2 linked regions of the Oryctolagus cuniculus genome follow. The protein of the gene in region 2 interacts with the protein of the main gene of each other region in a biochemical or structural test. Links are inferred from orthologs where the notes say so. Each region holds a gene or a part of one and is shown on either strand. Other genes may lie near its edges. The genes, in order: CKB and ARIH2.

Region 1 (4,504 bases), on a different chromosome or scaffold from region 2:
GCCCTGGCTGTTTTGGTCATTTGGGGAGGGTTAGGGTTAGGGTTAGCAGGTGGATATCTGTCTGTCACTCTGCCTTCCAATCTTTAAGAAAAACAAAAGGAACGGAGGCCAGTAGGCGGAACCAGGACCCCTGTGGCCTGGCTGTTGAAGGGAAGGCACCACGCAGAGACGGAGGGCAGGCCAAAACCCTGGTTTATTTCAGCATCAGCAACATCTTAGCCATCAAAAAAATAGACTCTACCGGGGGCGACACAAGTCTCTACAGCGAGGCTAAGGGCTCAGCCGCCGGGTGAACTTCGGGGTGCGTGTGGGCGCTGCCCGGGCAATAAGTTAGGAAGCGGGGCTGGTGGCAGGCACGGGCCGGCTTCACTTCTGGGCAGGCATGAGGTCGTCGATGGCCTGGCCCTGCTCCAGCCGCTGCTCCATCTCAATGAGCAGCTTCACGCCGTCCACCACCATCTGCACCAGCTCCACCTCGGAGAAGCCCAGGCGGTCGGCGTTGGAGACGTCAAAGACCCCGCCCACGGCGGCCGTGTCCACACCACCTGGGCATGGGAGACAGCCAGGTCAGAGAGAGGAGGACGTGGGGAGAGGGCTGCCTGCAGCCTCTGCCCCCCTCACCTGTGCCTCGCTTCTGAAGCCGCAGCCGCTTGAGCACCTCGGAGAACTTCTCGTGCTGGCCCAGGTGGGGCAGCTTGATGTGCACGCCTGCCCGCAGCCCCGTGCCCAGGTTGGAGGGGCAGGTGAGGATGTAGCCCAGGTGAGGGTTCCACATGAACTCGTAGTTCTTAGACTTGAAGAGCGTTTCGATCTGGAGGTGGTGGAGCACAGGGCATGAGGACGTGGCCTGAGGACGCCCGCGCCTGCGCTCTGGGGTCTGGGGTCTGCCCTGCCCCCGGCCCCGGCGCTGACCTGGGTGAGGCCATTGCAGAAGCGCGTGAACACCTCCTTCATGTTGCCACCCTTCTGCATGGAGATGACCCGGAGGTGGTCCTCCTCGTTGATCCACACCAGGAAGGTCTTGTTGTCATTGTGCCTGGAGGAGAGGCCCCGTCAGGGCGAGCCCCCCACTCCACCGGGGAAGGGGCTGCCTCGAGACCCCAGCCCCATCAACACTGCGGGAAACAGGGAGACCAGAGGGTGGGGGGCAGGGGCAGCACTCATCCCCCACCCAGGGGAAGCGCTGCTCCCTGAGCGCCGAGGCCCCCGGCGGCGGCTCCGCCCTCACTGGCAGGAAGCTCCTGCGTCACCCAGCACCTGCCAGAATCCCGAGGGGAACGGGAGCCAGGCGAGGGAGGTAGGGAAAACAAGACAACAAGGAGCCAGGGCCCTCGTCTGCGCCCCACGGAGGCTGAGGCTTCCGTCCACCCTGCGCGGCCAAGGTCACCTGCGCAGGACCGAGGCAGTACCAAACCGGGCGCACCCGGCCCCTCCCTCGGCCTCCTCGGCCACTGTGCGCCCCACTCCCGAGGGGAGCGGGGTGGCGAGCAGCGCAGGGGGCCACGCGCTCACCAAATACCGCGGGCGTCCGGCCAGTCGCGGGCCATGCCGGAGGCCAGCAGCAGGGGCGACACGGGCTTGTCGAAGAGGAAGTGGTCGTCGATGAGCTGCTGCTGCTCCGCCTCGGTCATGCTCTTGAGCGCGTAGTACCTGCCGGCCAGGTCGCCGTCCAGGCTGGACAGCGCTGCGGACAACAGCGGCGCACTGCTGAGCCCGCCCCGTCTGGGTGCCCGGCAGGGCCTCAGGGCCTCGGCCCCTCCGGACACGGGCAGGCGCAGACAAGGGCGCGGCGGCGGCTCGGGTGGCTGGTTAATAAGCGGGGAGGGGTGGTGCGGCTGACCCCCGCCCCTGGCGCCTACCTTCCACCGCCAGCTTCTCGACGGCGCGGCGCTCGCCGCGGCTGCAGTGCGGGGGCAGGCAGAAGCCCCGGATGCTGCGGCCAGTGCGCACCCGCGAGCTCAGCACGTAGTTAGGGTCCAGGTCGTCGCCGCCCTGGGTGCGGGGGCCAGGAGTGAGCGCCGGGATGCCTCCCCGCCCGCCGCCCGCCGCCCGCCGCCCGCGCGCGCACCTGCAGGTTGTCGGGGTTGAGGTCGGTCTTGTGCTCGTCGCTGGGCTTGTAGCCGCCGTGCCGGTCCTCGATGATGGGGTCGAAGAGCTCCTTGAACACCTCGTAGGACTCCTCGTCGCCCGCCACGCAGCCCACGGTCATGATGAACGGGTGGCCTGGGGGCGGGAGGAAGGCAGAGACGTCACCGCCAGGCCCGCGCGCGCCGCCGCCGCCGCCGGGGACCCCGGCCCGGGGATGCGCGTACCCGGGTTGTCGACGCCGGTCTGGATGACGTCGTCCAGCGTGAAGCCGCTGGGCGTGCTCTTGGCGCGCAGCTCGGCGTACATCTCGGGGGTCAGCACTTTGGCCATGTGGTTATTGTGGGCGCTCAGGTCGGGGAACTCGTCCTCGGCCGGGAAGCGCAGCTTCAGCGTGTTGTGGGTGTTGGAGAAGGGCATGGCGGCGGCAGCGGCGGACTGCGGGGAGACGCGGGTCAGCTAGCACCGCGCGCCCCGGCCGCTGGGCCCTGCAAACCACTCCCGGCGCCGCGGCCCAAAGCCCCGGAGCCCCCCAGACGCTGCCAAGGTCAGCGGGTCCACAGCGCGCGCGGAAGGCGCCTGCAATCGCCAGGGACCCTGGCGGGACCCCCCGCGCTCTCCAGGCGGCGCCGCGGCCCCCGGGGCCCCTCCGCACGCGACGCCACCGTCCCAGCCGTCCCTCGGGCCCCTCACCAGGCTGGCGGGCGGGCTGGGGGCTCGGTCTGCAGCTCCGGGCGCGGCGCTGGCGAACAGCGGCGGCTCCGCGCTCCCGAGGCTCTTAAGGGGCGCGATGCGGGCCGCCCATTGGCCGCTATTTATAGCCCATTCATTCCATTGGCCCGAGCAGCGGGGAGGTGCCGGGGCTTTGTCCGTCGCCTGCAGCCCCCGACACCCCGGACAGCCCCCCTCTGCTATGCCCTCGCCGGGACCCCGCGCTACCCGGCCACCCCGCCGGCTCCCGCCTGGGATCCCCGGCGCGGGACCCCGGTTCTTGGACATCTTGGGCCTCTCCCCCTCGCGCACTCACTGTATCGGCCGGGGAAACTGAGGCCCGAGAACCACCGGGCGCTGGAGGACGCTGGGGTCCTTGCCCACCCCACTCCCGCCTTTTCTCATCCCCGCCAGTCCCCGAGGTTGGCGGCGAGGGGCCGAGCGAAAGCGTCCGCGGCTTCCGCAGCCAGTGCTGCCCCCGGCCCGGCCCGGCCCAGCGGCCCGGAGCCGCCGACCTTCCTCAAGGTGCCTGCGGGCGTCTCCCGGGCGATCGGGTGCAGCGCTAGGCGCGGGAGGGGCGAGCTGGCTGCGGCCCAACCCCGCGGCGCCGCGGGGGCCGACCTTGGGCGAGTCCATGGGCTCCATCGAACCGGAGGAGACCCAGGGGCCCACTTCCTCCTAGGAGAGGGCACTCGCCCCGGGGCCTCCGCACCGGGCACGGCTTCCCAGCACCCCACCCGCAAGGCGGCCCAGAGGCGCTGGGCTAAGGTGGGGAGGAAGCCGGCCGCGGGAGGCTGAGGAAGCCTCACTAAGTCGGAATCCCGGAAATAAAACCACCCACCCAGGCTGGGGAAATCCAGGAGACACACCAACCCCAGGTGGGGGCCAGTTCCACTTCCTGCCCCCGGCATCCTTTTTGGAGAGTAACTTGGCAGTGTCCGTGAAAACAAAACATGTTCGAACTCTGTGACCCAGCCAGCCCACTTCTAGGAACGCAGCCACCCCGAGGACAGCCTCCGGGCTCTCCGCAAGCGGACCAGGTGACGCGGGAGTGGGAGTGAAATCGGAGAAGAGACCGGGTAGACCCTGGTGCCACCCTCGGGGCTGGCCAGGGTCTCGGGCATCTGCCTGGGAGGAGTATCAGGCGTCAGGCGAGCGGAGGCATCCTGTCCCTCCTTCACGGCGTAGGAGCCCGTATCTGCCTGCTTTTACAACCCCTCCTCCACACACAGCTGTGCCTGAGCACCTGAGGGGTGCCAGGTGCTGGGGACCACGTGGGCAGCACCGGGAGAAAGGGCACAGCCCTGCTGCTGGAGGGCGACCGTGAGTCCGCGTCGGGGTGCACTGGGGTGCCCGGGCAGCCCCCCGGCCAGCGCAGCAGCCCAGGCTTGAGGGGCACTGAGGAGGAGTCCCTGAAGGGAGGGCCCTGGAGCCGCGGCAGGTGCACAGGTGCAGAGCACAGGAGAGCGGGTCGGCCTCTGGCAGAGTGAGCCCTGGAGGGTGTGGTGTCCCCGGCCCAGGTCCCGGCCCTCGGCCGCTGCCGAGGGAATTCCTGCCTCCCCCCTCCCCCACCTTGGTATTCTGCGCTTCTTAGAGCCATAAAACCCAAGTAAAGAGACAAACGGCCAGACAGCAGGTGTTCCTTAAGCCAGCATTCCTGCTTTCCCAATCTGAGGAATGTCTGCAGCTGCTCGCCCCCACCCCACTC
Region 2 (3,798 bases):
GCCCATCCTGAGCTGAAGGAAAGGGCGCCTCTGAAGCTACCAGGGCAGAGTGCAGGGACGGTTTTGCCTTACCAGCTTCTTCCTGGGTCCAGACTCCATGTAGTACGCATAGGGATAGGTGTATTGCAGAGTGTACCGACACTGCAGCAGGAGAGAAGAGAAGGGACCTGTGTCTGTGATTCTAACCTACCTCTACCTCAGGTGGCTCTGAAAACTCTTGCCCCACCATGCAGATTAACCTGGCTCTACAGGTCTGGGCTTCAAAGAATCAGAGCCAAGCCAAGGAGAAGATGGACTGGGGCAAGACATGGGGAAAGCAGAACAGAACTGATCACAGGACACCCACCTTTCCTTTTTCAAACTGTGATTTATTACCAGCACTGCCTCAGTGACTTCTCCTTCTTGGGTTGGACATCAGAGTCCACATATCTATCTCAATATTTGTCCGAAGACTATCTTTTCATTTTCCTTTGCACGACGCAGAGATGGGACAAAGGGAGAGGAAGGGGATTCTAGTTTTCCCTGCAGGCAGAGGCAGCAGAACACTATTCTTAGAAAGCCTCTGGGGCCGGCGCCGCGGCTCACTAGGCTAATCCTCCGCCTTGCGGCGCTGGCACACCGGGTTCTAGTCCCGGTCGGGGCGCCGGATTCTGTCCTGGTTGCCCCTCTTCCAGGCCAGCTCTCTGCTGTGGCCAGCGAGTGCAGTGGAGGATGGCCCAAGTGCTTGGGCCCTGCACCCCATGGGAGACCAGGAAAAGCTCCTGGCTCCTGCCATCGGATCAGCGCAGTGCGCCGGCTGCAGCACGCCAGCCGTGGCGGCCATTGGAGGGTGAACCAACGGCAAAGGAAGACCTTCCTCTCTGTCTCTCTCTCTCACTGTCCACTCTGCCTGTCAAAAAAAAAAAAAAAAAAAAAGCCTCTGACTTCCATCAAAGGACTGAGTCCCTCAAGGGCCCAGCACAAGGAAATGTGGGTCTGTCAGCAGAAGCACATTAGGCTGTGCAGGGTGCTAACGACTCCCACTCCCCACAAGACCTCCCACCCTCAGAGGTGTGCCCTGATGGGGGCCAGGCACTGGAGAGGGGATCCAAGAGTGAGGTGGTAGATACCTTGGCCAAGAGCTTGGCAGCGTTCTGTAGATACTGCCAGTCGATCCACGTCCCCAGGTTATTCATAACCCTCTCTTGAATCTTTTCATGAATCCGCTGGTATGTCTGCGCCTCTAGCTGCAAGCTTTTGTTGTGGTTTTCCCACTAGAGGGCACAGAGAGAAGGAGAAAGCTGCAGGAATCCCAGGAGGTCCACAAGTCCACAGGTCCACACACTCAGGACACACCTTTGGCTGGCAGGGCATGACGACAGACTCCTTGAACTTACGGGGAGTGTGTGTGGCCTCCACAGTGCAGGAAGGGCTTGCTTTCAGTGCACCCACGAGAACAGTTTCAGTAAACCCTCAGAACAGCTCTCTGCCTGCCCAAGTACTCCATCCCGCTGGGGAAACGGGACTCTGGCCCTGACAGCCAAGCAAAGCGGGGGCCCCCACTAGTCTACTGTGCTTAGGGACCAACTGTCATACTCTGACTTCTGAAGGGTCTCCCTGGGGGAAACCATTCCCTAATTCTGACCACTAAGAAGGCACTGGAGGGCCAGTGTTGCGGCGCAGTGGGTTAGGCTGCCATTCTATGGGCACCAGTTCATGCCCTGGCTGCTCCACTTCCATTTCAGCTCCCTGCTGTGGCCTGGGAAAGCAGTGGAAGATGGCCCAAGTGCTCGTGCCCCTTCACCCACAGGGGAGACCTAGGATAAAGCTCCTAGCTTTGGCCTGGCTCAGCCCTAGTCGTTGTAGGCATCTGGGGTGTAAATCAGCAGTTGGAAGATCTCTCTTTCTCTATTTTAAATATAAATAAATAATTTTTTTTAAAAGCACTGGAATGAAAACTGTCTAATGAGTCTTCATTATCCTTTCATCCATCGTTAACTGAGGTCAGTTCCCTGTCCCTCTCCAGCTGTGGCTACCCAGTAGAGCCTAAAAGGCACAGGTGTAGAGGTAGCACCAGGGCTACTGGCAGGAGCTTCATTCACTGCGTTCTCTATGCACAGGCTGGCTCTGGCTACCAGTCAGCCCAGTCAGCCCACCCAGGTAGGCTAACCACAGAAGCCCACCCTGGTGGGATGGGCACAGGAAAAGACGCCTACCCTCTCAAAGTAGAACAAGTACTTCTTGAGGGCCTCCCTGGCCTGGGCTTGCTGGCTTTGGTTGACAATGTCAGGATTCTCCTTGTACCGACTGCACTCATAGTATTCACTGCCATGAGTCTTCCAGTCTCCTAGACACATCCAGCAGAAGTCTGCACAGAACAAAGGGAGAGTCACTTATAGCCGTAAGACAAACCCACATCCCTCCAAGGCACTGGCAAAGCAGTGGGATGGACAGACCCGGAGGTATCACCTGACTAGAACATCCTGGCTGCCTCTTTCCAGAGGGAACATTACCTCGCATTATCCCTGAGGCCTGTCCTTGCTGATATGACAGCTTATGGATATTCACCATTCCATGAGCACATGCGCTCTGTGTCTATTAATTTCAACATAGGTAGGTGCAGACTATACAAGGACCACGGGCCTGCTGTGTCAGTACCACTATAAGAAGCAGAAATTTGTCCAACTGAAGCCCACCTGGTTGGCTACAACACACACCATCTGTATATCCTATCTCTCATCTTCCTAACACTTGACCTAGGAAGATGTTTGTATGTGAAGCTGGTCCTCTTCTTTTTTTTTTTTTTTTTTTTTTTAAGATTTATTTATTTAAAAGGCAGTGTTATAGGAGGAAGTGGGGGGCGGGGGGCAGATGGGAGAGAGAGAGAGAGAATATCTTCCATTAGTTGGTTCACGTTCCAAATGGCAGGGGCTTGACTAGCCTGAAGCCAGGAGACCAAAACTCCATCTGGGTCTCCTATGTGGGTAGAAGGAGTCCAAGTATTTGGGCCACCTTCTGCTGCTTTCCCAGGCACATGAGCAGGGAGCTCGATTGGAAGTGGAGCAAGTGGGACTTGAATCCACAGCCATATGGGATGCCAGCACTGCAAGTGGTGACTTAACCCACGGCACCTCAATGCCAGCACCTCCCTTCATTTTTTTTTTTTAAAGAAGATTTATTTATTTATTTATTAAAAGGCACAGAGACGGGCAAGGGAGGGAGGGAGAGAAAAGGGGAGAGGAAGGGCAGGTGGGGAGGTGCATGACTCTGCTTCCAAACTAAGGAAGCAAAAAGGAAAAATTTAAGATACCCTTATGGATGCCGTACATCCCAGGAATTACTACAGCCTAACGGAGCAGGGTCAACCACAGTTCATTTGTATGTCCAATAATGTAGATGATGTCCTGTCTGCAGAGCCCCTGACAGTGGTAGGTAAACTCTGCTTAGGCTCTTGTCAAGCTGTAGGGAAGCTAAAGCCAAACCCAGAGACCCAAAGGCTGTTCAACTTCTCCTGGGAGCCTTCATCTAACAGCGGCAATACTGCCCTCTCCCTGGCAACTTGTGCTTGCTACTGTTTCAAATACCGCATTGGCTAGGGTTGCTCCTATAAGCAGTATAATTAATTACACAGCAAAGCAAAGATCTGTAGTTAACTCAGAGTCTTGAGGGATGGGGAGGCTGACTGGGGAGAGGCACACAGGGAGCTTCTTAGAAATCAGCAATGTGCTGGGTCCTGGGCCCACCCTTCTTTAAACTCTGTGTGTGAATTATACACTGTCTCTCTCACTCACACACCTAGAAAGAGAGAGGAAATACGCC

What was found.
Region 1: of the proteins of ARIH2 (region 2) and CKB, one has a biochemical effect on the other in vitro, tested with the Homo sapiens proteins (2 studies listed by BioGRID). The link is inferred for Oryctolagus cuniculus from reciprocal best matches to the Homo sapiens genes ARIH2 and CKB.

The regions. Positions count from the first base shown.
Region 1 is NC_091451.1:46,359,735-46,364,238, forward strand, and holds CKB (creatine kinase B-type), read right to left. Parts: upstream 2,937-4,504; 5' UTR 2,779-2,936; intron 2,524-2,778; 5' UTR 2,506-2,523; coding exon 2,313-2,505; intron 2,224-2,312; coding exon 2,069-2,223; intron 1,993-2,068; coding exon 1,860-1,992; intron 1,685-1,859; coding exon 1,513-1,684; intron 1,037-1,512; coding exon 913-1,036; intron 812-912; coding exon 622-811; intron 546-621; coding exon 367-545; 3' UTR 175-366; downstream 1-174. UniProt on the Homo sapiens protein: Reversibly catalyzes the transfer of phosphate between ATP and various phosphogens (e.g. creatine phosphate).
Region 2 is NC_091441.1:100,171,652-100,175,449, forward strand, and holds part of ARIH2 (E3 ubiquitin-protein ligase ARIH2), read right to left. Parts: intron 2,348-3,798; coding exon 2,196-2,347; intron 1,254-2,195; coding exon 1,110-1,253; intron 168-1,109; coding exon of another isoform or gene 142-167; coding exon 73-141; intron 1-72.